Mus musculus: one gene and its partners. The protein of the gene in region 4 purifies or fractionates together with the protein of the main gene of each other region. This does not show direct contact. Links are inferred from orthologs where the notes say so. Each region holds a gene or a part of one and is shown on either strand. Other genes may lie near its edges.

Region 1 (7,399 bases), on a different chromosome or scaffold from region 4:
TCCCAGGTAAAAGTGACTGTCCCTCTTAAACCCAATGTCATCTTCTGTTGAAATGAGAAAAACAAAAAGTGTAGTTTCCTTGCGTCTGAGCACATGACTCTCCATGACCCTCAGGCTATTGGTTCTACAACTGGAAAAGATGTCTTCTACCGGACTCTCGAAACTTAAAAACAATAAGCAATCCCTGATTCCTCTTTCTGTATCCAGGTAAAATGAGGACAGCTCTGTATTTGCCAGAATACATTGCCATTGACAGTTTTCTCAATTTGCAAATGTAAGATATAATACATAGATGCACATCGTACTCTCCCAGACCATCAACAGGCTGCTAGCGGGTCCACACCCATAACTCACAGGGCTTCCTCTTACCAGCCATTGGGCAGAATCCAAACTTCTGATCGGCATCGTAGTTCTGGGTGGTGCCGCACCATTTCATGTTGTCCCTGCGACCCTCAGAAGTACAGTCGGTGTAATTCCGGTTGTTGTACAGGAAGGGGAAGTGGCACAGAGCACCATTGGAATTTCCGCCTCGAGTCTGAACCAAAACTGCCCAAGACAACACACAAACCCGAAGATTACAGCTGAGCTGTGTTGTGTACGACAAGGAGAGACTACCGCAGGCTTAGACAGAGCCAGGTTCCGGCTGTTAAGTCCCAGAGGGCCTATCCACAAATAAAAAGATATCTGATAATACAGCCCTAAGCTTCTTAGTGGATTTTCATCTTCACTTTCAAAATAGATTTAAATCTCATGTTTTCTCATTTTCCCAGCCAAGGGGGGAAAAAAAAGATTAAATGATAGCTTTGTGTAAAATTCGACTCTACACAGAAGATAAGTACCGGCACCCTTGACATTTATCCTGTGTGTTCATCGGCTCTGTGGGATCATCCACTGATTTCAATACTTGAGTGTCTTTAATCACATCATAATCCCCATGTGTCGAAATAATCAAACCATAGGGCTTTTCCCTCAGTGACATTTCCCCAGTGGCGCTAAGGGACATGGAAACTGCCTGCCTCTGCTAAGGGATTAGCTGTGGGTTCAAATAGATCAAAGCTATAGTTCCCGTGCAGCCTCGGAATGACTGACTGACTGCTGGCACACAGAAGGGTGTGCACGGCAAGGACAGACAGACGACCGCCCTCTCTGGTTCCTCCCAGGACACTCACCCGCATGGTCTGTGCAGAAGGAATACTTCTGGTCTTGTTCGTAATTGGAAGTTGTGCTACACCACAGATGTCCGTCTTGCCGCCCTTCGGTGGTGCAGGAATAGAAGGTCCTACCGTTGTAGGTGAACGGGAGGACACAGGGCTCCCCGTTTGAATTGCCACCATAAGTCTGGGTCACGGCTACAAGCATAACCAAGAGTCTCAGTCAGTACAGTTGTTTCCCACCCTCACCTCTGACCCCAGTGGTGACAAATTTCTAATTTAAATGGAAACTGTGCTACTAAAGGGCCAAGATGAAAAGTCTAGTCAGCTGGTTAAGGGTGAGCCAGAGTTCTCCTTTTAATGTCTTTGGGAGACACTTCTGCTACCGTGACTCAGTTTCCCCACTTGTAAAGCTTTATTAATACAAATTATTATGATTTGAAGACGGCACAGAGCGATACATGCTTGCTTACATTCTCAGAAGAAACAGTATATATGGCTGCTCTAGAAAAACAATTATAAAAGAGAGCATGTTTGACCCAGAAGAGGCCATGTGCTGCTAAAAGACATCTATAATTCCAAATTGAACTCAGAGTACAGATTATTGGCTAGTTGAGAAAAAACAAAAACAAACAGGAAAAAAATGGTGTTCTTGCAGCATCCCTTTCGGCAAATACAGATACTACAAAGCAGTTTGATCCTCATGATAGGAAGAAAATATACAAGTTATAATACTAGAGAAGAGCCGGGCGTGGTGGCACACGCCTTTAATCCCAGCATTCAGGAAGCAGAGGCAGGGGGATTTCTGAGTTCAAGGCCACAGCCAGGGATACACAGAGAAACCCTGTCTCAAAAAACCAAAAAAAAAAAAAAAGACCAGAGAAGAAAATGTCAGCTACTATGATTTTTATCACAGGATTATAAACTTTTCTGGATTTATGGTTTTACATTTTTTTTTACGAACAGCTAAGATACTGCAGACACTGAATGTAGGTCCTCTGGCATCCGTGGGCAGATGGTGCCTACCTGTCTCCTGGCAGCTGACGCCATTGCCCAGGCACGTGCACAGCATTTGCTTGTTTCCTTGCGACTTCAGCCACTGCATTCCCACAGAGTAGACCACACCACTGTCGGTGACACAGTGGCCGTAGGGAGCGGGCTGGGGGTGAGTCTGCGGTTGGTAAATAGCTGTTCGGACATCAGTGAAGGAGCCAGATCCTAAGGGCAGGAGAATGAAAAAGTTATAAAACTGGAAGGGAGAAGTCAATGAGTCCAGAGTCTTCTTGGCTTGACCCGGAACTTCCGCACTCAGCCCAAGAAGTGGTTCACAAGACTCCTCATATAATCCTCATCGGAGCCACACCTGAACAGCACATCTAAGCGACAACATTATCCTGCCGCACAACACAACAGGTTATCTTTCACAAACCTTCAGTCACGCTAGGAAGCGATCCATCTGTGAGCTCCACACCCCTCTACCACTCTCCCCTCCCGCCTGGCTGCTAGCCTTCCCTGCCCTGTTCTAAGCTTCAACCCACTGAGCTGCTCATCATTCCTGGGTACCATGCTCCTGCCTTCTCCCTATGGCTCCCCACTCATCTGAAATGGTCTGCCTTGCCTGTCTTCCCTCATAGCTCTCATATGCTCTGTGTGTGGCCTTTCCTCTTCCTGAGAGACCCCTGAAGACCCACAGGGGATATCCTGCCTTCTCTAAAACTTGGCTCTCAGGAGGACACCCTGGAGAGCTACGGATTTCCTAAGTTATCCCTCTTCCTGGGTGTCGGTGCTCAGCAGAATTCCTTAGGATGTCTGTTTGTTTTCCTAGAAGCAACCAATCCTCACAAGTTTCCTCGGATAGTTAACACAACAGATTGTGCTAGCTTCTCTTTTAGAAATCTGGCTTTTGAAGGTCAGAGTCCGTATGGCAGCGGAAGAGCTTCTAGAATGAATCTAGCCTCTTCCCCCAGCGCTGACGAGCACAAATACCCAAAGAGAACTCAGACAGAGGACGCCAATGGTGTCAAGGCCCACCATACAGAAGGACGGCAAGGCCCTCCTAGAAGAGGTTGTTTCGTTTAACAGTGTTTCTCAAACCCTTTAATAGTGAAACACCTCGGTATATTAGTGATGCCATAAAAATAGTTAACACGTATTGTTTAATCCCAGTTAGCTCAGTTAATCCTTCATGTAGTTCAGTCGACTGACATTCGTAACTGTTCTTCCTCTGCCTTATGGCCAATAGCTGTTTTTATCGATGATAATTGGATAATGTAGAGATCATCAAATGTAACCTTGTTTGCTTTCACAAGGATTAATTAGGTCCAGATAAACTCGTCAAAAGGGGAAAAAAATCTAATTACTATTGCCTGAATGACTGACTGCTAAGAGGCTAAGTAACAAGGCTGGACTATCACACAGTAAAAGCTAGATGGAAACCCAGAGCGCAATAGCGGGAAGGTACCACCCACAAGAGCTGCACTTCCTTCTTCCGATGTGTGTGTGCATGAGAGACAGCATCTTTTTTTTTTTTTATTTTTTTTTAAAGATTTATTTATTTATTACATGTAAGTACACCATAGCTGTCTTCAGACACACCAGAAGAGGGCGTCAGATCTCGTTACGGGTGGTTGTGAGCCACCATGTGGTTGCTGGGATTTGAACTCTGGACCTTCGGAAGAGCAGTTGGGTGCTCTTACCCACTGAGCCACATTGAGCAGGTTTGACTAGAACTCACTACGTAGCCAAGGCTGACTCTGGACTTCTGATCCTCCGTCCCTCTACTTCCTGATCCCTGGAATCGCAGGCACAACACACCCTCCTTTTATTTAGTGATGGGGAACCAGAACCAGGGCTTTGCGCATGGTTGGCAAGTGCTCCGACCCCTTCCTCAGACTCTGACCAAGCATCCAAGATACATACAAATACCTTTCTTTGTTTTAGTTATTCTTTTAAATTTATATAATAATTATTGGGGTGTTTTGGGAGGGTGCTGGGAACTGAACCCAGGGCTTGAGGATTCCAAGTACATACCACACATTCACTCACTATTGCTTGTCCATGTGAGGGAGGGTGCATGCACATTATCTATGTGCGCATGCGTGTGGAGAGCTTGTGCATGTAGAAGGCAGGGATTATGCCCAGAGCCATCTTGTTTTCTATGACACCATCTTTCACAAACCTAGAACACAACTTCCCCCAACTCCCCCAAGAAAAGTGGGCTGGCCAGCCACACCATCTCACTAACCTGGAACCACCCCCACACTTCCAAAGTAGTGTAAGCTGGCTGGTCTGTAATCCCCAGGTATCCTCCTGCCTCCACCTTCTTGGTGCTGGGATAACACCATCACACTTGGATATTTACTTTGGTTCTAGACTGAACTCTGAGTCTCATGCTCATAAGCCAAAGCCTATACTAATAGAGCCATGACCAGAGTACACTATGCTTTCCAACCCAGCCCTCTGTGCTAAAGGCACGTCTCAACTTCATTCCACTCAACTTTGTTCACAATATAGAATGAATATTTTTAAACAGTTATGTGAACGATTCCAGCTTCTTAGCTGAAACGCTATAAATCACCCTGGCGTGGAGCTGTCCCCGGTCCCAGCGCCTCACCGGCTGAAGCACTTTGTAGAGCATGTCGCTCACACTTCCACTCCCCTCTGCCATTGCCTGTGCAGACACACTGAAGCAGGTTTCCTCGGTTGTCCTTCTTGCTCCACGTGTCTCCAATCCTATAGGATGTCCGGGTGTCCTGATCGTTGCATCTGTCTGTTTCAGGAGAGAAGCATTGAATATAGAAGTTATCTAGTAACCGACACGCAGCCATCCACACTAAGATGGGAATGCTGCAGTTGAATGCTTCTGAGTGGCTGTTGTTGGTGTTAGTACATCCTACCCAGTGCTGGTGATGCATATATTAAAATTCAGATACCCGGTTCGTTACAGTACAGCCCTACCTCTCCATTTGCCAAAGGAAAAAAAGAAAAAATACTATTCAGTGTCTTTTATTGATTAAAAAAAATTAAGATTTTCTACATTGGTTCTTTGACTCAATTAATTATCTGGCAATCTACTCTTTACTCCTCAGTGTCTTCCAGACCTTTTTCTGTAATTACAGCCCATGGCCCTCCTTTCAATAAACAATAAGGAGGCAGGTCTCTTCCGACTGCCCCAGGGAAGCTAAAAAGTTAACCACACCAATCTCTCCACTTGTTATGTAAAAGTATTCCTGTGGAAAAACAACTTCTCTGGCTAGAAGGTTCTCTTTTCTTGCCCCACCCAAAACCACCTGTTTTACAATTACAAAGTCACCCACGTGGTTAACCCCAGCGTCTGGGAGGTAGGAGCAGGAGTGTTAAGAGCCCAAGGTCTCTCTCAGCAACACAGTAAGTTCTAGGCCAGCCTGGGCTTATGAGAATCCTCCCTGTATAATAGTAATTGTAATAATAACAGTGACAATAACCAATAGCAACGACAAAATGGCTTATCCCACGGTTAAAAGGTCTCTTCTGGAGTTAAGGATGCTGTCTCTTATTATCCTTGTAAAAAGCTGGCCCCAGGCATCCTTCTTCCCTCCCGCTTCTAAGATTGTCTTGAAGTCTTAATTGCTGCTTCTGCCTTCAAAGTTCCATTTAGAATTTCAAACTAACAACAGCCTTGGAATTTGCTGAAGCATGAATTTTAAAACGCATGCAAAAAAAAAAAAAGTCAAATCTAGATATCTTGAATGTGTTTTGTTTATCCAGCTTAAACTAGTAATTAAAAATACCACCCAAGTTCAAATTCTTTGCCACACAAAAATAAGTCATGGAAAAAGATCAAATGTTTCCCCCAAACTTATAGGATCCTTAGATCTTTTGATTTAAAACTGTGATGAGCTTCAGTCTTCCAAGTCGTTTGTGGCAGTATTTTCATTGAAGACAAATTAGACATCTAATTCTGAGCCACTGAGCTGGCTTAGTGAGTAAAGAACCTTGCCACCAAACCTGACAACCTGAGGTCACTGCACCCTGCGCGGTCCAAACTGTCCTTTGCCCTCCACATGCACACTGTGGCGTGTGTGCCTCCCACCTCCACACACAAAATAAACACATGTAGAAAGAAATCTAATTCAGACTCTTACCTATCATTTAAAACCCTTCTGACAGCATGCAAAGTTTCTCAAACAAATAGCATGTGATCAACAAAATTTTATAAGTACTTACTTTGTATGTGGCAATATGGGGAGGGAAATACGAACTGGGCATCAGCCTTCAGAGAACACTTAGTAGGTCAAAGATGAGGAAGGCTCATGTATTAATCACTTACAAAGCTCAGCATTAGGAGTTTCAAGAGATACTGATTCAAAGATACTGAAAACAGGTTCAGGTTTGACAACACTGTTAGCTGGGGTCTTGGACCTCTGTTCTTGTGTGTCTATGCATTTGCCTGAATCAATGGTTGATTTTTTTTTCCTGACACTGCAAATGCAGCAATATTTAAGTCACAAAGTTAGACCCTTACTGCCCACATTGTAGCGTAAGAGCAAGGATGGGTTATAATTTAACAGTCTCTCTGCCCAATCGATGAACAAACAACACACAGAAATTCATTCCACTTTCCTATTTGAAGGATAATACTGGGCACGGACTCATTTCCACTAGGTTCTTGTTTAGAGTCAGTAAACCTTATTTAAACTTCAAACATAGAAGGAAATCCGAACATGGGGTAGAGCCTTTTATTTCCAATCGCTCCCCCAGGTCAAAGGATTCATTTACATGCTACTTTAGGGATTTAATTGTCCTCGGTACCAGAAAGGTATCTCTGAGATAATTCCCAGATCAAGGAAGACCCATCCAGCAAGCGAATACCACTAAGGCTCTTTTCATTTTTACTAGCTGACTGCCTAAGGCAGGGTTGAACTGAGAACTGCCTTTCCTAGTTATTGAGTGTCCTCTGAAGAAGCAGAAGGTGATGGTTATACAGTTTTTCTGGACATCTTATGATACCACAGAGTCACCAAGGCATCACAACTCTCTCTAGGGATCCAGAAGCAACAGTGGGCTGCATTGTCAACAGAAAAGAGCTAAACCTACTTCTGGAGGTACAGGTGATGCGTCCATTGCCTTCGCCTAGACAAGTACAGTCCACCATCATCCAGCCTTGGTAGGGCTTTTCCCAGGTCTCCCCCACGACGTAGGACGTCCCAGCAGCATGATCAAAACACTTCTCAGCTGGAGAAGAAATGGGAAAGCAAAAAGAAAGGAGG
Region 2 (7,399 bases), on a different chromosome or scaffold from region 4:
CAAATTCAGACCATTAGTCATGTGTGGTAACTGCTCTTCCATCCTGCTAGGCCAGCATCTAGGAGATTTGAAACTACTAAAGTAAAAACTCTGCAGAAATTGCCTGTTCAATATGAAAGAATGGACCTTTCCCTTCAGACTTCAAACACTGCCCCAAAGGTCTCTCATGAACATCAATAAACAGCTGTCTGTCTGTCCTCTGTTCATGATTCACCTGCTAGTCCTTGGAACAATGGTGACGCCATCAATCAAATCGAACAGTTTTAAGACTTTTTAGATGAACTTATTTTCAGGTCATATTCATTGGTACCCTGCCATCTGGGCATCCCCCAAATCTTCGGAGGAGTCAGTTCCATTCTTGCCTAACATTAAAAGAGCTGGGGTACAGCCTACCTGAGCTAAGCCAGAGACCAGAGCTGCTGCTCTCTGATCAAGACCTTATTCTCCTATATTCTTCATATCCCTTCTACAATCCCTAGATGCCACAGTAACCAGGTAGCCCAGAGATTATTTGTTATAGTGCAGGAGCAACAACCAAAGTTTTAACAGTTGAATCATTGTGGTTGAATCTGTTCTATAAAGTAAATATATCTAGCCAGGCGTGGTGGCGCATGCCTTTAATCCCAGCACTCAGGAGGCAGAGGCAGGCGGATTTCTGAGTTCGAGGCCAGCCTGATCTACAAAGTGAGTTCCAAGACAGCCAGGGCTATACAGAGAAATCCTGTCTCAAAAACACCAAAAAAAAAAAGTAAATATATCTAATATAGATTTCATTCAGAGACATCATAGAAGACCTTAATATAGTAACCAAAACCAGTTAATATCAAGCTTGCTAGGCCAAAGACAAAAGCAAGTTCACTCTAGAAACATTCCTTGTTCTCTCAAACTCTTAATTATTACGAAGTGAATTAAGATCTATAAAGAAAAAGACAATTCATTAACTCTTTTTAGAAGTAACTTATTTAAAAAACAAATTATATTTAAACTATATATACATATATACATACATATATATATATATACATATATACATACATACATATATATATATATATATATATATATATATATATAAACTATATAAGATTACTGATTAAAATGCTACCATTGGTAGCTAAGGAGATGCCGTGGTTGCTAATGTGCTTGTCAATCAAGTATAAGGACCGAAGTTCAATACCCCACACCCAAATTAAAGGTTGAGTGTGGTGATGCTCCTTAGTAATCTAGCACTGGAGAGTCAGATGCGGGAAGACCCCTGGAGCTTTCTGGCCAGCCACTCTAGCCTAATCAGCGACCTCCAGGTCCCAGAGAGAGAGCTCATCTCAAAACCAAGTAGATAGCCCCTGAGAAATAACACCCAAGGTTGGTTTCTGGCTTCTATATGCATACTTGTGCCCCCAACATGACACAGCCATAATAATTCTATGGAAGAAAACTGTTACAGTTGCATTAGCCTTTAAGTGGTTTAAATAAATTTATGACAACAACAGTCATAGAAATAGAGTTGTTGGCATAAACTGATAAAGAGCTGGCTTATTCATAGCTGGAATACTGATTGCTTCATAGGCTGCTGACATAGCAGCCATGATGTTACATGTACCAAGCAACCAAGCGCATAACTTTACAGGTTAGGTTAGCATACACTTCTTAGCTGGTGAGTTTGCATGGGTGACATGAAGCTTCCTACAACAGTCGATATAAAGTTTGGCATAAGTAAGTATTCGAAAAATAGAATTACGTGATGTTTCAGCCTTCATGCTTCCATGAAACTGAGCTTGCTATTTGGAGTCATGAGCTCACAATTTGGGGTTTAATATCCCATCACAACAAGCAGCCAAACCAGAAAATCAGAAAATGCCTGTGGATTTGAAACATATTAAGCTCTGCCTTTTTTTTTTCAGGTTGAAATGCACAGTTGGTCCCGCGATGAGTGAGCACTTCAATGTGTCTGTAATTATCTCAAACAGTCGAGAGACGACGCAATACAGTGCATTCTCCTATGTAGTAAGTTCAAGCAGGGCTTTTCTTCATGACCTAGGACATTTGGCTTTTCTGTCATCTGCTTAAAGGATGCAAGTAACCAGTCCCTCTTTGGTTTTGCTGCCCATTCAGGATCCTGTAATAACAAGCATTTCTCCGAGGTACGGCCCTCAGGCTGGAGGCACCTTACTCACTCTTACTGGGAAATACCTCAACAGTGGCAATTCTAGACACATTTCAATTGGAGGGAAAACATGTACTTTAAAAAGGTATTGTAAATATTGTTGTTTATTAATATCTGTGTTTAATACTTGCCCAGCCAAGCTCTTTTGCGTTTGTGCGGAGCACAATATAGATGTTTTCCGTGATTCTCTCCCACTAATGATTCTCTCTGTCCAAAATCCATCTGCTTCCTTTTGCTAATTTTTCTATCCTTCCCTTTTTACTGATTAATCCCCATTCTGAGTTTTGACTTGCTACCCACTCCTTTATTTTGGTGAGTCTTATCTGAGCTATACGGTGAACTTAAAGCTCTGGTCATTGGTAGTACATCAAAATGAGCATTTCTATCAAGATTCAAATATAAAGAAGATATGTGGTGGGACAAAATGGGTGAGGTTAGGTTTGAAAGGTAGTTCTGTTTCTCCTTCTTAGAGTTGAAGGAGCTAAGTTTATTCAAGTACCAAATGTACTTTGAAGCTTGCTTGAACCACCAAATGTTTTGAAGTCACGGATGGCCTTTCAACAAGGCTAAGCGTGGGATCTAGTTGGATGTAAACAAGCTACAGTGGGGAGAGCTTTTCTCCTAGGCCACCTCTGGAAATTCCACTGAGTTACATTTTTTTGACTTACAGATGTAATTTTGGAATATGTATATCACTAATAACTAATATCTGCTCTTTATTCTTTTCCTTCCTTTCTTTCTGGTCTTTTGTGTCTGTTTGCTGCTCAGTGTATCAGATAGTATTCTTGAATGCTACACCCCAGCCCAAACTACCTCTGATGAGTTTCCTGTGAAATTGAAGATTGACTTGGCTAACCGAGAGACCAGCAGCTTCAGTTACCGGGAAGACCCCGTTGTCTATGAAATCCACCCGACCAAATCTTTTATTAGGTAAGTAAAAGCTTCTGGTGGGTAGAAGAAAAGCAAAAGCAGAAGGATCATTTGGCTGAGGAACACCCAAGGGCTATCACATTTTTAATCCCTCATTTATTTAAACGCTGCTGTGTTTCTTTTGAAGGCACCTTTCCAATTTAGTGGGAAATTGTATTCCAGTCCTTGGGACAGTCTGACTTTATCGATGTTACTTCCTGTCAAGAGCAGTTCTTCCTATTATACATTTCCTGTTATGCTTTCAACACCTAGATAAAAACAGTTCAACCTGGTGCCATGGTATAGATGCATCTATGTCATATATAGTGTCTCCATCTGTGTCAGTTCCATACTGAGCTGCAGGTCGCCTTTCCCCTCTCCTCTTGTTGCATTTTGCGATCCCTTTACACATACGTATTTCTTCCCTGCACCAGACTCTGTTTTAGTCAGCATCTATAGAGCCTCTCTCCCACCTTTGCTCGTTCTATCAGTCCACCAACAATAGTCACTAGCATTTTTCTTCTCCACATTTAGTCGGTAAAAATTCAGCCATTTCTACAGCTAATGAAATGTAATTTTCTTTAAATATTCTCGAATTTCCAAAGAAGAGTTAACCCTGAACTCTCATTCAATCCTAGCGAGTCCTCTAACATCATAAGAGTATAGTAAGGATAAAGCTGAGTGTATAAGACTGAACCTCTGCACAGCTGGTAGGAACGCTCTGAATATTCCTGTTTTCTATTTTGTTTTACCAGTGGTGGAAGCACAATAACGGGTATTGGGAAGACCCTGAACTCGGTTAGCCTCCCAAAGCTGGTAATAGATGTGCATGAAGTGGGTGTGAACTACACAGTGGTAAGTCTTAGAGTGGTCATTCTGCCTATGCTGCCAAGCTTTTAGGGCACAAGGACATTTTGGCTTTGTCTAGTAACCTGCAGCAGAGGTCAAATGGTACTTTTATTCAGTGGTAGAATCTTGGCCTGACATGGTAAACATACATACATATACACACATGTTTATACACCAATGAAGCAGTTTTCAGACTTTTTGATATATATACAAACTTGTCACAAGCAAAGGGTCATGTGGGAAAAGGACTCACAACTGAGAAAGTGCCTCCATCAGACTGGCCTGCAAGCAAGTCTCTGGGACCATTTTTTATTATTATTGATGTTGGAAGGACCAGTCCACTCTGAGTTCTAGGTCCTCTAGGGAGGGATAGCAAAGGTAGTTTAGCATGAGCCTGGAGACTAAGCCAGTGTACAGAATTCCTCTATGGTCTTCCCTGCAGTTCCTCTTTCCATACTCCTTCCTTGGGTTCCTGTCCTGAGGTTCCTCGGTGATGGAGTGTGGTTGGGTTCCTGTCCTGAGGTTCCTCGGTGATGGAGTGTGGTTGGGTTCCTGTCCTGAGGTTCCTCGGTGATGGAGTGTGGTTGGGTTCCTGTCCTGAGGTTCCTCGGTGATGGAGTGTGGTTGGGTTCCTGTCCTGAGGTTCCTCGGTGATGGAGTGTGGTTGGGTTCCTGTCCTGAGGTTCCTCGGTGATGGAGTGTGGTTGGGTTCCTGTCCTGAGGTTCCTCGGTGATGGAGTGTGGTTGGGTTCCTGTCCTGAGGTTCCTCGGTGATGGAGTGTGGTTGGGTTCCTGTCCTGAGGTTCCTCGGTGATGGAGTGTGGTTGGGTTCCTGTCCTGAGGTTCCTCGGTGATGGAGTGTGGTTGGGTTCCTGTCCTGAGGTTCCTCGGTGATGGAGTGTGGTTGGGTTCCTGTCCTGAGGTTCCTCGGTGATGGAGTGTGGTTGGGTTCCTGTCCTGAGGTTCCTCGGTGATGGAGTGTGGTTGGGTTCCTGTCCTGAGGTTCCTCGGTGATGGAGTGTGGTTGGGTTCCTGTCCTGAGGTTCCTCGGTGATGGAGTGTGGTTGGGTTCCTGTCCTGAGGTTCCTCGGTGATGGAGTGTGGTTGGGTTCCTGTCCTGAGGTTCCTCGGTGATGGAGTGTGGTTGGGTTCCTGTCCTGAGGTTCCTCGGTGATGGAGTGTGGTTTGAGAGTTGTGAGATGAGTTAGACCCTCTTCTCCCACGTTGATCTTGACCCTGGAGCTTTGTCACAGCAGTGCAAACCTAATCAGCACACCCCGCAATGAGTTTCTCAAGTGAAAGAAATAGGATAGACATTTTTATGAATGAGGTGCATAAATACTATTTTTAATCATAATTATGTATTTTTCTTTTCTTTAAACCTATTCTACATGATGCCAATAAGCCAGATAGGACTAAATTATGCACACAAAAGCATTATATGTATAGATATTATAGATAGATGTATTTCTTGTAACACATACATAATCAAAGACGATTTTGACTAATGAAATTAAGAAATGTTCAACAATTACACACCCCTTGATTAAAGTAATAATATAAAGCACAGCACCCGCTCCACTTGCTGTGTCCCTCAAACTATGGATCAAAACCTTTTCCTTGCACTTCCTTACCTCGGTCCTTGTCTCTTTATTATCATACAGGGGATGATAATAAAATACTATTATCAAGTATTTCAATGGTATTTTTCATTTCTCTACATTTTTTTATTTGAAAGCACAACCATAATTTAACCTTAACAGAGATGGATCCATCTGTAGCTGTAACAGTTTTACATTAGGCCTAGCATGGGAGTCAGTAATAACAGCATCTGGAAGATGGAGACAGAAGGATCAAGAGTGTAGGGTTGGCCTCCTCCACCTAGCAAGTTCCAGTCCAGACTAGGGCTAAATAGACCATTTCAAAAACAAAACGAAACAAACAAACACCAATAATCTAAGTCTAAACCTCAGAATGGTGAATGTCTTGTTATAGAATTTTTCTGCTGTGAAATACCACACATCAGTTGGACACATGCACTCAACCTGAAGTAAAGGCTCTAAGTTCGATTGGGCAAGTGGTAGATTGAATTATAGCACTTTCTTTGAAATTCCCCCATCCAATATTTCACAAGGACTAAAGCCACTCTGGTCCTTAATTACAGAAAGCAATTTGGGACTAAAAATGTCAAGCCGAATCACCAAACACTAAGGTCATCTCAAACGAGATTCCTCTTGACCCTCTCAGTCATCCACATTGCATCACCTCTAACAAGTGTTATTAGATTCTTATCATATTTCCAAGAGAAGATGCTCCAGGGAGTCACAGCATGAAGTTAAGGACCTTAAAGCCAATCCCCATACATGGCCACAAACAAAGTTAGAATACCACCGTTATTAATTTAGGAGCCGTCACTTCTCCACAACCAAGATACGATTTTACTTTAACCAAATAAAAATAGCAGTAACCCTCTTTGGTGTTGGCATGTGACTTTTTAAAGTTGGGTCTAAGAAATGATTCATTTACTGAAGACCAAGCCTCCATTATTACGATAATGGCTGAGCTTGCTTTCATCTCCCTTACCCAAAGATGACATATTAAATGCTTGCTTGAAGCCTTCAGTGTCAGATATAAAAGAGGCATACCCTAGAAAAGACTCAAAAAGTGGTAGAAGATTTTTAAAAAGTCCTAATGGTCTATACATCTGGAAGTACAAACTCCTCTTGTTTGAGTTAAAAATGCAGCATACTGTAACTCTATGCATTAGTACTGGACTGGAGTGAGAAATTTAAGGGATTTTCTACTATTTACTTTTTCATTATTCCTTAATTTACTGTCATTTCTAAACTCTTCCCCATTCCCTGTGGCTTATAGAGTTTAAAGTTGATTAAGATGAATTGAAAGCATTTATTATTTAACAAATAAAAACTCATGGTCTGATCCAACCACAATATTTTTTTAATTCCAGTAAACTCAGTGCATTAAAATGTAGAAATAATTAATTTAACACAATGTAGATTAATGTGTTAATGTGCGCTATGTCCCAATTATTTTGTGGTTCCTAGGTTCTTATTATTATACAGAGAATTATTATGGTAGCAGTGAAATCTTTCATTTCCGCTTTACAAGATCATAGGAATAAATAGCTCTCAGTGCTATGACATTATATTTGATATAAAACTAAATATTGCAATATATTTTATCCATATAGTATCTCTGTTTTATCTGATTCCAACATACATTTTTAAATACAGTCTGTTTTAACATTATTAAGAAGAAAATATCACACAGTAAATTCTGTGCTTTTTATGTATATCCTGAGGCCTTTTGCTATTGTGAGCATAAGTAATTGTTTTATCTCCAACTATACTTGTCAAAGAAAAGGAAATCTAAGGGATGTTGTTGCCTGTTTGTCTTTTCCTTGGGGGAGAAACACAGCCCTTTGACTTTAAATATACCACTTTGTGTGGCTGGTTT
Region 3 (7,399 bases), on a different chromosome or scaffold from region 4:
GTAAAGGAGCACAGGGAATAGCAATCAGAGGAAGAGAAAGTCTCTGGATGCAAGGACACAGACAAATGTGATAGATGAAGATAAAGATACATCCAGAAATAGACTTTGCATCCTCCAGGTTGATGCTGCCTAATGTTTTAACCGGGACAGGAAGCTAACAGCCCATAAACACACAGTAACTTGCTGCCGCATGGACAATTGGGATGTCTGTATTTCATCGTTAAGTAGTTTCCCTTACCCGCATGAATGCCTGGTGTGTCCTACATTTCTCTCCACTGCTTGAAACTCGTATGCTTCCTGTAATCACGTCAGAAGTCCCATTAGAGAAGAAATAAAATCTTGACGGAGACTCTGCCTTCCTGTGCACATCCAAGCTCACATTGTAAAACAAAACTGCAAAAACAGAGAAAGCATCGTGATTAGCATCCATTCCTAAGGCACTGAGGTATTAGCAGTTACAAGTCAACCAGGAAGTTCCCTGAGTTCTTTCCTTGGATCAGTGTGAAGCAGATAAACTGAAGTATGAAAAAAGAAAGAAATAAAATATTCTTTAAAATTATATTTAATAAAATAAAAAATTATTAACTTATTTTCCAGTTATCTTTATTAACACCTTTAGTTATTTGCTTAATCTTTTCACATATAAGAATGAGAAAACCACACAAAAATCTTGGCTAACCGAACGAGTCTGTTTGTCTATGCATCAGCCAATGACAGAAGTGTGTCTAGAGCCGTGAGCTCCAGCATCTCTCAGGATGAATCTGTCTTGTACAATAGCTGACTTGTGTGGTGCATGCCTAATGTCTAATATAGTATGGGTCCCTTAATTTTGTGTTTCTTATTTGAAAGTTTGATATTTTATTTAATTTTCCTATATAAAATGAACAACCAGGTCAAAACCCAAAAATTTATAAAATGGCTTACTAAAAAAATACCTTCCTTTCAGTCCAATCACCAATTATTCATTCTTTGTGACTTTACTGCTCATGGTTTGACCCTCTAAAGTTAATCTAAAATGAAAATGAGAAGTATATAATCTTTCTCTCAAATATTCTAGTGGTTTAGGGGTGGTTAAAATCCGACATAGTTAATATTTAGCTGAAAAACAAGATCCTTGGATCAAAAAAGAAGAGGGGGATTTTAAAAGCCATAAAATCATCAAAGCAGATTATAGCTAGGAAGTAAGCCTCATTTCCTGACTCTAAAAGGGTTCTTTACAAAGTGACTTGAGAGCAGTCCTCCACTGAGTTGCCCTCACTGCACAGGAGTAATGATATCTAAGTAAATTTAAAAAAAAAATATATATATATATATATATATATAATTTCTGCAACATTCATTTACATCTGAAAAGAAACATACTTTTCTGAAGGTATTTTGCCCACAATGTATGCATCAAACTTGTTAGTCTTACATTCATTTTCAAATAAACCTTTCAACCATCATTTAATTTAGAAAATAAAGTCTAAATCAATTGAATTCAAAATTACAATAACTGTAATATAATTACCTAGAAAGCAAGAGAGAGTTGCAACTGAAGTAACCATTTTCAAATTTATCACCTGAGTCCAGAGCAAAGGTAAAGGAGGGACTACAAATGTATTCCCCTCAAGAGGCAGAACATAATGACCTCACCAAGCTACCATGTGGGTTATTCTTACCAGAGCCGCTTTCATAAGAACACTGTGATTATTTGTGTTTCATATATTCATTTTCAGACATTAAGAAACAGATCTAGTGCAAAGGAGTTGGAAGAACAAGGAGACAGCCGCATCCACTCTGTGTATCTTTCAGATAATCCATCCGCTTGTCTATGCTAATGTGTAATTCACTCTGGGGTCACACTCCCCAGGTGCCAATAACCAGATGAAGCTTTGCCCATCTTTTTATTACTTCAGCTTTGGCCAGGGCTTTTCAAGAGCATTATTAAAAAATGAGTCTCATAAAGTACAGATGCTGGGTTCATGCTGCCCATTACATAACAAAATTGCTCAGACTGGAACCTCTATTACACATCAAAAGTTTGGCTCCATAAGCAATTGGCAGCCTCTGTGATCTTTATATAACAGCAGCCTATTCAGTTGTTGCTCAATCAATTTCACAAGTGACTAATATCCAAACGATGATAACCCCAGGTAGAAGTATGACTTACTGGGGGCCATTTTCATTAGTAACTATTCTAAAGGCTGCTCTCTCTCTCTCTCTCTCTCTCTCTCTCTCTCTCTCTCTCTCTCTCTCTCTCTCTGTGTGTGTGTGTGTGTGTATGTGTGAAAGTTAGCATTAACTACCCTCTTGAATGATCCATATTAATGCTATATTCTCTATGGCAGTCAATTGAAGAGTTCCCTATAAATGGAAAAGGGGCACAGTTCTCAGAGCTGAGGGTGGCAGCATATTACATATACTAAATCCAGGTCCAGCCTCCAGAGAAGCATCTTTAATTATTCAAATATAACAGCATACACTTTAGATGAAGACCCTGTGCCTCTTACTCCTTCATACCTATGCTATGCTCCAGGTTTTACAAGCTCAGTAGCGTTGAGGGTGTAATTCAGTGATGTGACACCTACACAGCATCCCCAAGGCTCTATGTTCTTTCTCCATTTCTGTGGAAAAGGCAGTAGTAACAATAAAAACATTTCAAGAGGAGCCCTGTCAAGCAGGGGAGCTGTGGTGCCCTCGTTTGATTCTGAAGATTTCACAGGTTACACACAGAGGGTTCACCTTAAATTAACGCAGCAAGGGGTGGCCTTAGCTCCTCCTCTTGAGTTATGCACTAAACCTCCTTTGTGCCTCATATGCTGGCTAGAACAAATTGAGAACAACAACAACAAAAACAAGACAGACAAGAGGTGCATATCAAAAGATTGTTCCATTCTGCTCTAAAGAAATGTCAAATGCTCATGATAATGGATGATGAGGGCACACAATTGACTCCTGGATTACAGAATGAGTGTATGGTATTAGTTCTGTGGGCTGTGCTTACCGATGTAGCCTGGGACCTCTTTGCCTTTATATGAGAAACACAGTGTAAGATGCATGCACACAGATGGAAGTCCATTTTCAGTACAGTCAAACTTTGTCCTATTTACAGACTCAGGATGGCTTAAAGATGCTTCAACAATCACTACAGGCCTTGTCCTAAGAAGGCAATAAAATTATTAATATTAGTTATAGAATAATCTTACTGTAAAGACAGTAATTACATTTGTTCCCAACAAACAAGCAACGTCATTAAAATGCTTACTTAGTGGTATGTACATACATGCATGATTATATTTTGTGTACAGATTAAGAGAACTTTTCACTTAAATCTATAAAACCATTAGCTTTATCTGATGGTCTGTTTAATTATGTCTAAACAAGGTGAGAAAAAATATCCCAAAGTTTAATGATAGGACTCCAGGATACCAAAAGGAGCATCATCAAGGCCGTTGCTTTTAAAACCTGCCGCCCACACTCTACAATTAGGCCCAACTGTCATTAAGGAGTGACACACATCAACCTCACCTTAGCAACACTGCAGAATCAGATTGAAATGCACCAACGGCTACATCTGCAGAATAGTAATAATAATAAAAAAATAATAAATCAACAGGGTAGATTACCAATCACTATTAGTTAAAGAGAATAACCTTGCAGCAGCAAATACTAATCATCACATTTCAACTGTATCAAAATAGCATTTACAGAAACATAATTGGGAACGGCAAGCTCGCATCCTCAGATCCATTTCATGATATGTCTGAATCTACGCACCCAGAAGTAGCAGCAGCAATCGTTTTATAAGAAAGAAATGAAACGGGATGCTAGATGCTTGCAACAGGGCTGCCAAACAAAATATAAAGCTTTAAGCCGGAAGCATTCCTCCAGAAGGCGCCTTTCACGTCTTTCAAAACAGATATCTCCTTGCTTTTCATCACGTTTGATTGGTTTCTTACGTACTTCTTTTCTTTCTCAAGAACACAATTATGAGTAATCTGAAGTCCTTCACATTGGCTTTCTATGTTCACACTAAAGCAGCATCCCACAAAAAAATTTTTTTCCTTCCCAGACCTGAAAATGGACATATCTACTCACCAACATATCCATTGTTGTCTGCATCAATTTGTCCTGAGATAGATTGTCCAAACATCCTTAATGATTTGCTGATTTGCTGTCCTTCAATTCTCTAGGAAAAATAAAGGGGCTGTGTTGTGTAATCTTGTTGGGAATATCTAATATTTCCAAGATTTTACTTAGTTAAATAATGGATCTTCTCAGGCTTGTCTTAGCACACTGACCAAGAAAACACATTCTTACACTTTAAGAGATGTAAAATTTCCCACCTTTAAAAACACCTGAAATCTATTTTGTTACAAAAACTTTATGTTGTGAAAAAGGCAATATTTTATAGGATAATTTTTAGTGTTTCCAAAACAATTACTTATTTCTTGTCTTTGAATTTTTTCAAGTTCTGCTTTTACTTCCATAATCAACATTAATAAATAAACAGAGATTTTGAAAAATAAGATATCTATTACTCTTTATCATATATTACTATTCAGATGTCTGATGAAAACCTACTGGTTTCGACAGATTGCTCCTTTCCGTTCAAGAACACTCCACACCTCAGTCTGCTCCATCTATTTAATTTCATGTCCAAACACTGAATTAGAAATACATGGGTACTATTCACAGGAAGAAAAAAATCAGTCTTTGACTTGACATATACCTAACTTTTAAATTAAATTTAGAGGGTCACTTGCCTATTTTTGGTCACACCAAAATAATGTTAGCTAGCAAATCTCTGAAAAAAATCTTTCTTAGAATGTAGGTCTTTTTCTACACTGAAATATCTGGAGGTGTCAAGATATAGAATTGAAATGAGAGTTTTGTCATAAATTTGTATTAAGATATTATTAGTTTAACTATTATACTTAGAAAGAAACATGGTCTCATGAATGCATTTCACTCCCTGTGCTAGCTCTGTAAAGCATAAAGCTTTACCTGCGCTTGGTATCCAAGTGGGCAAAGTTGGGAAATAATGGCCATTGCCTCAAAAACACAGATGTGCTGTCACACATAAGGACAAGAAAAAAAATGGAATGGAACACTAGTGGCAATAAAGGGTTTAAAGAAAATTGTATTGAGAGTTAAAATAAGATCACATACCAATATTATGTGGTGAAATAAAAATGTTACATATTTGAGAGAGACAACAAGTCCACGTTACCAGACAAATACTGAGGGTACTTTAGTCTCTGATGTTCCTGTGCAAGTCTGAAGAGCATCTTACCTGTGAGTAGGTGGAGGAGATTCCATCGACTCGGCCATTGTAAATGTAGACAGCACCTCTCAAGTCGTCTTCTTGTGGTGCACCAATAGCAATATCTGTCGGATTTAAATCATGAAAATATTAAAACTCTTGATGCAAAGGATGAACTTGGAAAGCTAGCCTTCATGATTCTGAATGCATGTGTCATAATATGAAGACTCCCTCTATGTTTTAAATTAGATATTTTCTTCATTTACATTTCAAATGCTATCCCAAAAGTTCCCCAGACCCTCCTCCCCACCCCATTCCCCTACCCACCCACTTCCACTTCTTGGCCCTGGCATTCCCCTGTACTGAGGCATATAAAGTTTGCAAGACCACGGGGCCTCTCTTCCCAATGATGGCCGACTAGGCCATCTTCTGATACATATGCAGCTAGAGACACAAGCTCCAGAGGTACTGGTTAGTTCATATTGTTGTTCCACCTATAGGGTTGCAGACCCCTTTAGCTCCTTGGGTGCTTTCTCTAGCTCCTCCACTGGGGGCCCTGTGATCCATCCAATAGCTGACTGTGAGCATCCACTTCAAAACTCCCTCTTATAAGGAAATACAACCACTATGCCAGGAAAACAAAAAACAAAAAACTAACTACATGAGCTTCAAGATTATGCATAATATTTTGCGTATGGAAAATACCAGAGTGGGTGGTTTTGCAGCACACTCTGTCATAACGGATAAGCGTACGGGGGCTGCAAACATACCTCTTGACACCTCAGCTCTGTCGCTGTGCCCTGCTGCTCTGTATGTCCCCAGTGTTTATTCTATGTGTCTTGCTTCCCACTCATGGAATGAGAGCACACAAAGACAAATGTGCTTGGTATGAGAGGATGTAACACATCAAATGCATATAACAGCATCTGGCGTGTTATAATGGGAGACTGTATGACCACAGGAACCTTAGTTTTGAATCTCTAGACTTTTCTATTATAGTAAAATGGTTTCTGAATCCATTCTTCTTCCAGTAGTGGTAATTAGAGATACACACACATACAAATAGAATTTCAGAAAATGTCTTGTTTGTAAAATAATGACAGAATGAATTTATTGTGATTAATGTTGAATTTATGACACTGGGATTAAAACATGGAAAAAAACAACTCAAGAGTAACAAACATGCTGACTCATCTCATTGCTTAAGTGATGTAAATACATGTAACACGAAGAAGAAAATTAACATTCCATAGCTGCAAGAACATGTCATTGTTATACCACATGATGCTATGGAGGCATATTAATGCACTTAATAATATGCAGTGTTTTAATTATTTTAACTGATATCTGAAGAACAGAAAGTTTATTTTCATGATATTACTTATTGTCTCAATTTTTTCACAACTACAGTGGTAATTTTGACTGCTATTTAAGACAAACCATATTTTAATTATCAGTGGCAATATCAAGAAGATTCAATTCCAAGGCATGAAAATAAACATTAAAAACTTACTTTCTAAATTGTAGGAAGTTATTGCACTCTGGGAAACCATATACTCTCCTCTAACACATATTTATCCTATGTGTGCAGTTTCATGGGCCCAGTTAACTCCCAGTAGTAGGCTGAGAGCAGACAGGTGCAGAGGAAGGCATTTCTACTGCAAGCCTGATGTCTAGGGCAGGATGCATGGTTAAGACAGTGCCATTTATTAATCATGTAAATGCTTCAAGGTCAATTGGTGGATAGCCACTACTCTGCCCCTCACCAATGCTATGACTTTTGCTGGGTCCTTGCCAGATCCTAGAGCAAAGCAGCTCCAGACAGTACTCCAGGCATAGCAGGGGGCACCAGAACATGCTCCACTTTCACCTCCAGACTCAGTTGGGTTTGCTCAGTTTCTGGGCTGTACTGGTAGTTAAATATCATGCTCCAATGATATAGACACCTCATAATTTCTTTCTAATATCAGGATCATTTTTAAATAGTAAAATGATGGATATCAAGAGTTGATAAGCATCATTTTAGAGATGAGTAAAGAATGATGCTACTTATAATCAATGGTACCTTTAGAACCAATAAAAATGCTTTGAATAACCCCCTCTAATTAACTGTGATAAAGATTAATAACTGACATAACATTTTCAAAATCT
Region 4 (8,199 bases):
TTGGAGTCCTCCACCAAAATCTCATTTAACTCCACAACAACCCTCATGAGAACTGAATATTATCCCTCATGCATAAAACGATAAACTAAGGCTCAGAGAGACCAGCTAACAAGCACAAGGCTATACAACAGTTTTTAGTCCTTACCTATATGAGGTCATACTATATTGCCGAGCTAGTCCTAAGTGGTCCTCTTGCTTCAGTCTCCTAAGAAGTTAGTGGTATAGGACTATAAAGCTAGCCCAAGCTGTCTCCACTATGTCGCCCAGGCTATCCAGACTGCTCTGGAACACATGCCGATGTGCCTGGTCTAGCCTCCTTAATTTCAAGTATGTGTCATCATGCTCAGTGGTTTCTGGCTTTTATTAAGACAAATGCGGTCCGGCTGTTCATCCATCCACCTCCCACTGCTCTGTCCCTGTCACAGTGGGACACTGGCTCACCCTCTGTGGTCACTTAAGCCCTCTCTGTGCTGGGCTCTCTTTGGCCTGGAAAGCACAAGAGAGGTCACTGAGACCAAGAACACATGGAGGCATGAATGGAAGTGAAGATGGACCAGGTTGGGCGGGGCCCCTCACATAGACACACACAAACACTCTCCCATGAAAGGGCTGGATTATGGGGAGCAGAGGCAGCTGCCTTTATTGAGGGCTACAGGCTGGCTGGCTTCACTCAAAGGCCACGCACTTAATCTTGAAGTCTCCATCCGCCGCCATGTAGTTGATGGCCTCCATGTTGAGGCGGTTGGGGAACTTGAATTCATGTCCGTCTGGCAGCTTGATGGTCAGGTCAGCCTGGTCAAAGGTGATGCACACCTGGTGGATGGAGAAGGGCAGTGAGCTGGGCCTTGGACCAGCTCAGAGCCCCGGGGACAGGTTCTGTATAGGTGAGGTCTATTATGTTGAGAGAGTGATGCCATTCAAGGGTAATCACACAGCAGGGAATGGTCAGCCTCTGGCTCTGACCATATTGCCCAGCACACCCAGGGCCCTGCCCAGCGCCACCCACCTCTGTGATGCTCCCGGGCTGGAAGGGGAAGGCAGGTTCCCGGTGTTCGGTTCCCCAGGTCCCATCTTCCTTGGTGTTACACACAATGGTGTTGGCGTCTCCATGGGCATTGAAGCGAGGATTGAAGTGTAGGCACAGGTTGTTGCTGTCTTTTCCCAGGTTCAGCACAAAGCTAGGGGGGGGGGGGACAGGTGGGCTTTCAGCCATGTTGGATGGTGCTAGACCCCAGCTCACTGAGAAAATGCAACATCAGCAGCTGGCTATGGACATGCCATGTTGAAACTCAAGCAACAGGAAGGCCAGGAACTTCGATTCTACTTCTGGTCTCACCATGTGAACTGAGCTAGACCCTGCAGATTCTCTCTGACTGTACAGTGGTGGTGGTGGTGGTGGTGGTGGTGGTGTGTGTGTGCGCACTAGGGGAGCTCTCTCCCAGACATTGATAGTTGTCAACCCCTTTGGTCAAGAGGGGAGATTCTCCAGATGGTGTCCTATCTGTCTTGTGTATCTGAGTCCCTGGTGCCGAGTACAGCGCAGGGCACACCATAGATTTTCCCTCACTGTGGAGAAGAAGCGTAAATAAGAATACGGAGTTTGAGCCTTTAATCCCAGCACTCGGGAGGCAAAGGCAGGCGGATTTCTGAGTTCGAGGCCAGCCTGGTCTACAAAGTGAGTTCCAGGACAGCCAGGGCTATACAGAGAAACCCTGTCTTGAAAAACCAAAAAAAAAAAAAAAAAAAAATGGAGTTTGGCTGGCTGTGGTGGTGCACGCCTTTAATCCCAGCACTTGGGAGGCAGAGGCAGGTGGATTTCTGAGTTCGAGGCCAGCCTGGTCTACAAAGTGAGTTCCAGGACAGCCAGGACTATACAGAGAAACCCTGTCTTGAAAAACCAAAAAAACAAACAAACTAACAAAAAGAATACGGAGTTTGTTGCACGGAGCCTGGTAGCGGTGTTCACCGTGGAGGTATGGTAGGAAGAGGCGAAAGGGCTCAGGAACTTACTAACAACAGACAACAGACAGCAGCAGCTGCCTGCTTGATGGAACTGGCCCTGGCTCTCTCCCCTCCACCACTTTCCCTCTGGCTTTATTAGGAACCCCAGGCTCTTAGGGGTGTGGAATATGGAAGTACACACTTTCTATCCCAGCTCTGGGGAGACGAGACATGTGGGTCTTCGTGGAGGCCAGCCTGGTCAACACAGATTCCATGCTAGCCAGGGCTATATAAGGAGACCCTGTCTTCGGAGAAGAAAAGAAAAGAAAAAAAAAAGTCGAGGCCTCGTGAGCTTGGGTGACTGGTCCAAACTCACATGGCTGCTGGGGGCGGGGGGGGGGGGGCGGTGGGGCGGTATGAATGAGGAGGAAGCTCTGGAAAAAAGATTGAGCCCCTGCAGGGCACCCTCAGGCAGCAGGCACGTGGGTGACCACTCCCTCAACGCCTCTCCCCCGCTCCCTCGCGCCACCCCCGCCCCCCCCCCCGCGGAAGGGGAGGGGCAAGCCGGAGTCGTTGAAGCAGCAGCTGCTTTAGTTTAAGAAACTTCAGCCGGGAGAAAGGAGGCGGGAGGGAGGGGGAGACCACGGCGACGTCGACTAGACCCAGCGAGGAAGTGACTCACCCAGAAAACGCAGCATCTGCAGCTGCCCGTTAACCAGCTGCGGGCTGGGGAATGAGCGGTTCCGGCCGGCCACGCCCATCGCAACCTAAATCTGCGAACCTGGCCCCCTGCCCGCTCCATTCTTTTCTCCAGTCTCACCTCTTGGCGTCCGAGGCCACCTCTCCCCGAACTTTGAGACATTCCCCAGGTTTGAGATTCAGGTTGCTGGCGACCAGACCCTGTGTAGACAAGAGCACCGAGCTGTGTTTAGGTTGGAGTTAGACCTACCTGCATTGGGCTGGGGTGTAGGGATGGGGTCATTCCCACCCTGGAGTACCCTGACCAGCCCTAGGGGAAGCCCGAGGTGGGATGGGCTGGTCAGGATAGGGTGTAAGTTGATGGGGAACGACTTCATTCCCAGCAGGGTGTCAAACTTGTGACTGTCCTACAGAACAAGCCCTAAAAGACATCAGCTTGGAGACCTGGACTTAGAGTGGAGGGGAGATGGAGTGTGACTTCCTAAATCCTCATTTTGCTGATGGAAGGATTAGGCGACCACTAGCCTAAGGCCTTGCTTCTCTGAGATAGAGAAAACAGCCTTTGCCTCCCCAATCGGCTTCAAGGCTCTCTGCTTAGATGCACACCATCGGGAGGGAGCGGAGAGGCTGAGGGGCGGTGGGACTGGGCAGCCCGAGAGTGGCAATGTGGACTTAGCACGCTAGAGAGCCCAGTACATATCAGGGCACTGCTGTGCACCTACCTGGGTGAGTTGACAGGAGTTCATTTGGGCAAGGGGTTTCTTTGACATTTGAACCCTATACCTGAGGGCTTGCCTGTCTGTGCAAATGCATGCAGTTTCCTCCGCCCAGCCCTGACCCGCCTCCACTGACCAGCCTGGAGCCTATCTTAGGCCCGGGAGGGTTTTTTTTTTTTTTTTTTTAGTTTTCTGGAGCAGAGGGTGACCAACTGAGCCCTGGCCCTGTGACTGGGGACAGCTGCAGCGGGGGAGGGGTCAGGAGACTCTAGAGTGGAGAGGAAGAGTGAACAGGGAATGGCCTTGGCCAAAATGTCCCCCTGCCTCCCTTTTCCCCGGGTGGCCACACCCTTCCCACTCCCACTTCTCAGAAAACGGCAAAGCAGCAGAATACTGGACTTTGCAAGGCAGGTATGCGGCCAGAACTACGAGAAGTCCAGAACATTCTTAAGCCAGAGACGCTTAAGGTTTCAGGGGGGAACAGTGACAGCCACCCCCATTTTACAGATGTAGCCACTGAGGACCAGAGAAAACACCTGTCCAAGGCAGCACAGCTGGGACCAGAAGCAAGTCCCCAATTGTCTACTCTCCTGTGCCCATCTGCTTCTGCTCAGTCCCCTAGACCTTGGAACAGAGGGTCCCGCACTCACACAGGCCATGATTGAAGCTGAAGCGAAGAGATTCCTGAGACCTGCTCCACCAGCAGTCAGAAGACTCCACCCGAGAGACGGGCCCCAGGCCCGCTCCGACCTTTTTAACTGGATCAGACCCGGTGAGTCCCGCCCCTCCCCGGGAGTTCAGCCAATTGCATGTCAGGACAAGGATGGGGGCCACCAGAAGTGGAGTCTATGGATTATAAAGTCAATTTTGGAGCAGAGGTGACCAGTCAGAGAGGAGACCCCCCCTCCTAGCCCCTCCCTCAGGGTCCTGGCGCCGCCTCTTATTCTTCTCCATCCCTCTTTCCACTAAAAAAAGATTTGTGCTGTGGCAGAGATTGGGGGAGCCAATGGAAAATAGTTTAAGGATGAGTTAAACCTAAGAGTTGGCGGGATAGGGCCTGGGGCCAGCAGGGAGAAAGCCCCTAGGTCCCAGCGCAGCTGGTGGGGGAGGGGGATGTGTGTATAGATGCCTGCAGAGAATTAGAGCAAGGCTCTCTGAAGAGGCTGCCGCCTGGCAGGCCAGGGTGTGGCTCTCGCTGTGACTCCCACTGTGGGCTTCTGCGGGAGGACTGAGGAGGACCACAAAGCACAGGCCCCACCAGGGCTTTCCCCGGAAGCAGAGGACTGTGGCTACGGCTCAGTGCAGCTCACTAGGGCTAAAGAAAGCCTGGGCTGGGCGCCAGGCCTGAGGCTGGTGTCCTTGGCTCATACCTTGGACTTCACCCCACTGCAGGGCCTGCAGAGAGTTCTGAGTGCCTTGGCTGTGACATCCCCGGGGCCTGAGAGGCAAGCCTCGGGGCAGTCCAGGGTGTGCCAGATGTGCCCCCTTGGTCTCATTCCCACTTTTAGAGAAGAGACTTGGCCATCCCTTCCCATTCATTTAGCAGTTATTTTCCTGAGCCCCTACTGTGTGTCTAGCTCCGTGCTGGCCTCAGAGGGCATGAAGATGAGCCCCTCCCAGGCCCTGCTCTCAGAATTCACGGTTTGGATAGAATGTGACTATGCGTTGAATTAAGAAATAACACCGCACTGGCACTGAGCAGGGCAAACACTCACCATGGTGGGGTAGAGACTGACATATGAAGCAGGGATTTGAAAGGACCCAGCATTCCAACTGGGCAAAGGCTTGGAGATGAGAAGCCCGTGCCTGGGGAACGAGCTGCTTACCATGTAGGAGAAAGCTGGGCGTTAAAGATCATGAAGGGTCTTGTGGGCCAGGTAAAGGGTTTCAGTGTCTTTTACCTGAGGGTCTTGGGGAGCTACAGAGGGTCATGGGGTGACATGAGAGACTTAGGGAGGTTCACTGAGCAGAGCGGAGGGTGTGTGATAATACAGGCACTTCAAAGCTGCTCTTGCCAAAAAGCCTGGATTCCTCCCGTGCCCTGGAAGGTTACTGAAAGGGTGAGTCTGCCCTCTCTGCCTTTGTCTTTGTATCTCTGTCTCCTTCCTTTGGCTCAGGCTCTCGCTTCCCTCCGCCTTCCTGACCTGACCATCACCCTTCTAAGCCAAAGGCACGAAGACTAGTCACTGTCTCAAAAATGCCGAGCCAAGCCTTGCAGGACAACCCCTCCCCCACCGGAGTGTTCCTGAGGTAACTGCACACCCGGGAGAAGGAGTGACCCTCTCCCTAGAACTTACACATCCCCTTAAGCAATATGACTTCTTTAAGCCATCGTACAGAGCCAGTCAGTCAGCCCAGGTATGCATACCTCTTGTTATCTGTGCTGATTCTTTCAATATTTAAACTTAAACTACATGGTGGCTCATGCCTGTAACACCAGCACTTGGGAAAATGAGGCAGGAGGATTAGGAATTCTCATCTGCTACATGAGACCCTGGCTAAAAAACAAAAAACAAAAAAAAAACAAAAACAAAAAACAAAACAAAAAACAAAACAACAACAAAAAACAAAAAACGGGCAGTGGCGGTGCATGCCTTTAATCCCAGCACTTGGGAGGCAGAGGCAGGTGGATTTCTGAGTTCGAGGCCAGCCTGGTCTACAGAGTGAGTTCCGGGACAGCCAGGGCTACACAGAGAAACCCTGTCTCGGAAAACAAAAACAAAAACACAAAAACAAAAAAACAAATTAGCAGCTATCCAGGCAGTGGTGGTACACACCTCTGACCCCAGCATTCAGGATGTAGACAGAGGCAGCTCTCTGTGAGTTCAAAGACAGTCTGGCTTACAGATTGAAGTTCCTGGATAGTCAGGAGTACAGAGAGAAACCCTGTCTTAAAAACCAAACCAAACCAAACCAAACCAAACCAAACCAAACCAAACCAACCAAATAACCAAACAAAAATTAGCAGCTAAAACAGCAACAACGGCCTCTCCAAAAGCCAACTCACATTAGTACCCCAAAACAAACTTGGGGTTACTGAGACTCTTGATCTGTTCCCTTTCCCAGTGTGGCCACATTGAATAAATCCTTTTGTGTTTGTTAACCTGATGTCCCCTTAGCCTCTTTTTAGGCAGGAGTCTTACGCAGTACAGCCCGGCCTCAAGCTTGCTGGGCTAAGGCTGACCTTAAACCTCTGACCCCCCTGCTCCTGCCTCTCAAGTTCTGGGATTTCAGGCCTGTGACAACTGACTTGTTGGGGATTAAACCAGACCTTCACTCGTGCTAAGTGAGCATTCTACCAACTAGTTATCTCTTTAATTGGTGTAGAGGCCCAGCTCCATTGGTTGGCTGCCAGAGCCCCCTCTCCTGCCCTAAAACCTCTGGTTAGTTAGAGGGGTATTTGGCTCACGCTGGGAATCAGGTGTCGGGGCAACAGGGGGTCCGTGTAGCCGTTCCCCTTCCGAAGCTACCATCTTGGAAGAGTTGTGACGATAAGGGGTCATTGAGTCACATCTGGAGGCCAGGCCAGCAATCCTCTTGCCCTACCCAGCCTCTTCCTCCCAGGCTCATCTCTAGCTCCTCCCTCCAGATGTGGAAAGCCCACCCAGGATGTGAGGAGAGGGAAACCCGCAGGGCACAGGGGAGATGCTATCACATCTGGAGTGAGGTTGGCCTGCCCCATCATCTCCAGCCCCGCCCTCAAGTCACCACCAGAGAACCCAACCGCAGCAGCTTCAATCTTTCCTCTGAGGCCTCCCCAGACTTCAGTTACAGGGCGGGACTGTTGGGGCCCTGGCCGGTTAGTTCCTCTACTATTCCAACTGTGTGTGCCCCTCTCCCACATCAGGAACAGGACAAAGACATCAGGCAGAGTTCCAGGTAGAAGACCAGAGATGAGGCAGTCAATTGCCAGGCAAATCCACGGGCTGGGAGCTCAGGGCTCTGGGAGCTGTTCCTGCCAGGTCATGACTGGAATAGAAGACCTACACCAGGAAGTGTGTGTGTGTGCACTTCTCTGTAGGTGCTGTCTGAGCAGGCCGGCCATGGAAGAGCATGGTATAAGGACTAGTCTCCTGACCATGGCCTGGAGATTCTGGTTTATGCTTCCAACCCTGTTTACCTGTTTATTCATTTTCTCCATTTGCAACTGTACGTGTGAAGTCCCTCTTTCCTTCCTGAGGGTCACGTAAGGTGGGACTCAGGTCTGTGGCTCTTCATAGGTGACCTTTGCCTTGAGACAGTCCTGCTCTGTAGCCCGGGCTGGTTTGGAGTTCGAAGCAGTCCTGCCTGGGATAACAGGTATGAGTTCACCATACCTAGCTGAGCTCAAGATTTACAGTCTCCTTGTCGCCTCTTCCAAGGTTACCTTCCCTGGTGTTTGGCAGACCCTCTTCTGGTCCTCTCCCACCCGAGCTGTGGTATGGATTTGCCAGATGCCAATAGCCCCTGTAACCGGCACTATGGTTTTTAAGGCAGGGTTGTCAGAAATAAGGTCCCTTCCTTGCCCCACACCCACAAAGTGCTCAGGGCCTCCTGGTGGTGGCACCCACTTATCTGTCAGGCCCAGTGCCCGGCGCCTTGCTTTCAAAGCCTATCTCATTTGAGCATATCAGTCTCTGCCCACCTGGTGAATAGCCGCTGTGGTCAGATCCCAAACAGAGGCAGGATGGGGAACAGAGACGAGCATGGATTTGGGGGGGGCAGGGTGTAGTCCTGGGCGTTGGTTATTCTGAATAATGTCCACATTCTAGAAGGTAGCAGTATGCCGATCATTTCAGGGTGAGTTGAGGATTGCAGGTATTGAGGTATGCCTTTTTCCTTCCTTGTTTCCTAAGGCCAAAGG

Evidence for each region. The genes of interacting proteins can lie anywhere in the genome.
Region 1: the proteins of Lgals1 (region 4) and Fn1 purify together in Homo sapiens (affinity purification with mass spectrometry; 3 studies listed by BioGRID and IntAct, with this or other methods). This does not show direct contact. The link is inferred for Mus musculus from reciprocal best matches to the Homo sapiens genes LGALS1 and FN1.
Region 2: the proteins of Lgals1 (region 4) and Met purify together in Homo sapiens (affinity purification with mass spectrometry; 3 studies listed by BioGRID and IntAct, with this or other methods). This does not show direct contact. The link is inferred for Mus musculus from reciprocal best matches to the Homo sapiens genes LGALS1 and MET.
Region 3: the proteins of Lgals1 (region 4) and Itga4 purify together in Homo sapiens (affinity purification with mass spectrometry; 3 studies listed by BioGRID and IntAct, with this or other methods). This does not show direct contact. The link is inferred for Mus musculus from reciprocal best matches to the Homo sapiens genes LGALS1 and ITGA4.

The regions. Positions count from the first base shown.
Region 1 is NC_000067.6:71,640,783-71,648,181, forward strand, and holds part of Fn1 (fibronectin isoform a precursor), read right to left. Parts: intron 7,365-7,399; coding exon 7,227-7,364; intron 4,921-7,226; coding exon 4,765-4,920; intron 2,370-4,764; coding exon 2,178-2,369; intron 1,350-2,177; coding exon 1,170-1,349; intron 547-1,169; coding exon 370-546; intron 1-369. UniProt on the Homo sapiens protein: Fibronectins bind cell surfaces and various compounds including collagen, fibrin, heparin, DNA, and actin. Fibronectins are involved in cell adhesion, cell motility, opsonization, wound healing, and maintenance of cell shape.
Region 2 is NC_000072.6:17,532,010-17,539,408, forward strand, and holds part of Met (hepatocyte growth factor receptor precursor), read left to right. Parts: intron 1-1,901; coding exon 1,902-2,004; intron 2,005-2,112; coding exon 2,113-2,249; intron 2,250-2,932; coding exon 2,933-3,094; coding exon of another isoform or gene 3,095-3,098; intron 3,099-3,828; coding exon 3,829-3,928; intron 3,929-4,394; exon of another isoform or gene 4,395-5,212; intron 5,213-7,399. UniProt on the Homo sapiens protein: Receptor tyrosine kinase that transduces signals from the extracellular matrix into the cytoplasm by binding to hepatocyte growth factor/HGF ligand. Regulates many physiological processes including proliferation, scattering, morphogenesis and survival.
Region 3 is NC_000068.7:79,284,979-79,292,377, reverse strand, and holds part of Itga4 (integrin alpha-4 precursor), read right to left. Parts: intron 5,374-7,399; coding exon 5,279-5,373; intron 4,172-5,278; coding exon 4,081-4,171; intron 3,557-4,080; coding exon 3,511-3,556; intron 3,142-3,510; coding exon 2,987-3,141; intron 394-2,986; coding exon 239-393; intron 1-238. UniProt on the Homo sapiens protein: Integrins alpha-4/beta-1 (VLA-4) and alpha-4/beta-7 are receptors for fibronectin. They recognize one or more domains within the alternatively spliced CS-1 and CS-5 regions of fibronectin. They are also receptors for VCAM1.
Region 4 is NC_000081.6:78,922,612-78,930,810, reverse strand, and holds Lgals1 (galectin-1), read right to left. Parts: upstream 4,087-8,199; 5' UTR 4,016-4,086; coding exon 4,007-4,015; exon of another isoform or gene 3,864-4,006; intron 3,768-3,863; exon of another isoform or gene 2,842-3,767; coding exon 2,762-2,841; intron 1,179-2,761; coding exon 1,007-1,178; intron 814-1,006; coding exon 667-813; 3' UTR 346-666; downstream 1-345. UniProt on the Homo sapiens protein: Lectin that binds beta-galactoside and a wide array of complex carbohydrates. Plays a role in regulating apoptosis, cell proliferation and cell differentiation. Inhibits CD45 protein phosphatase activity and therefore the dephosphorylation of Lyn kinase.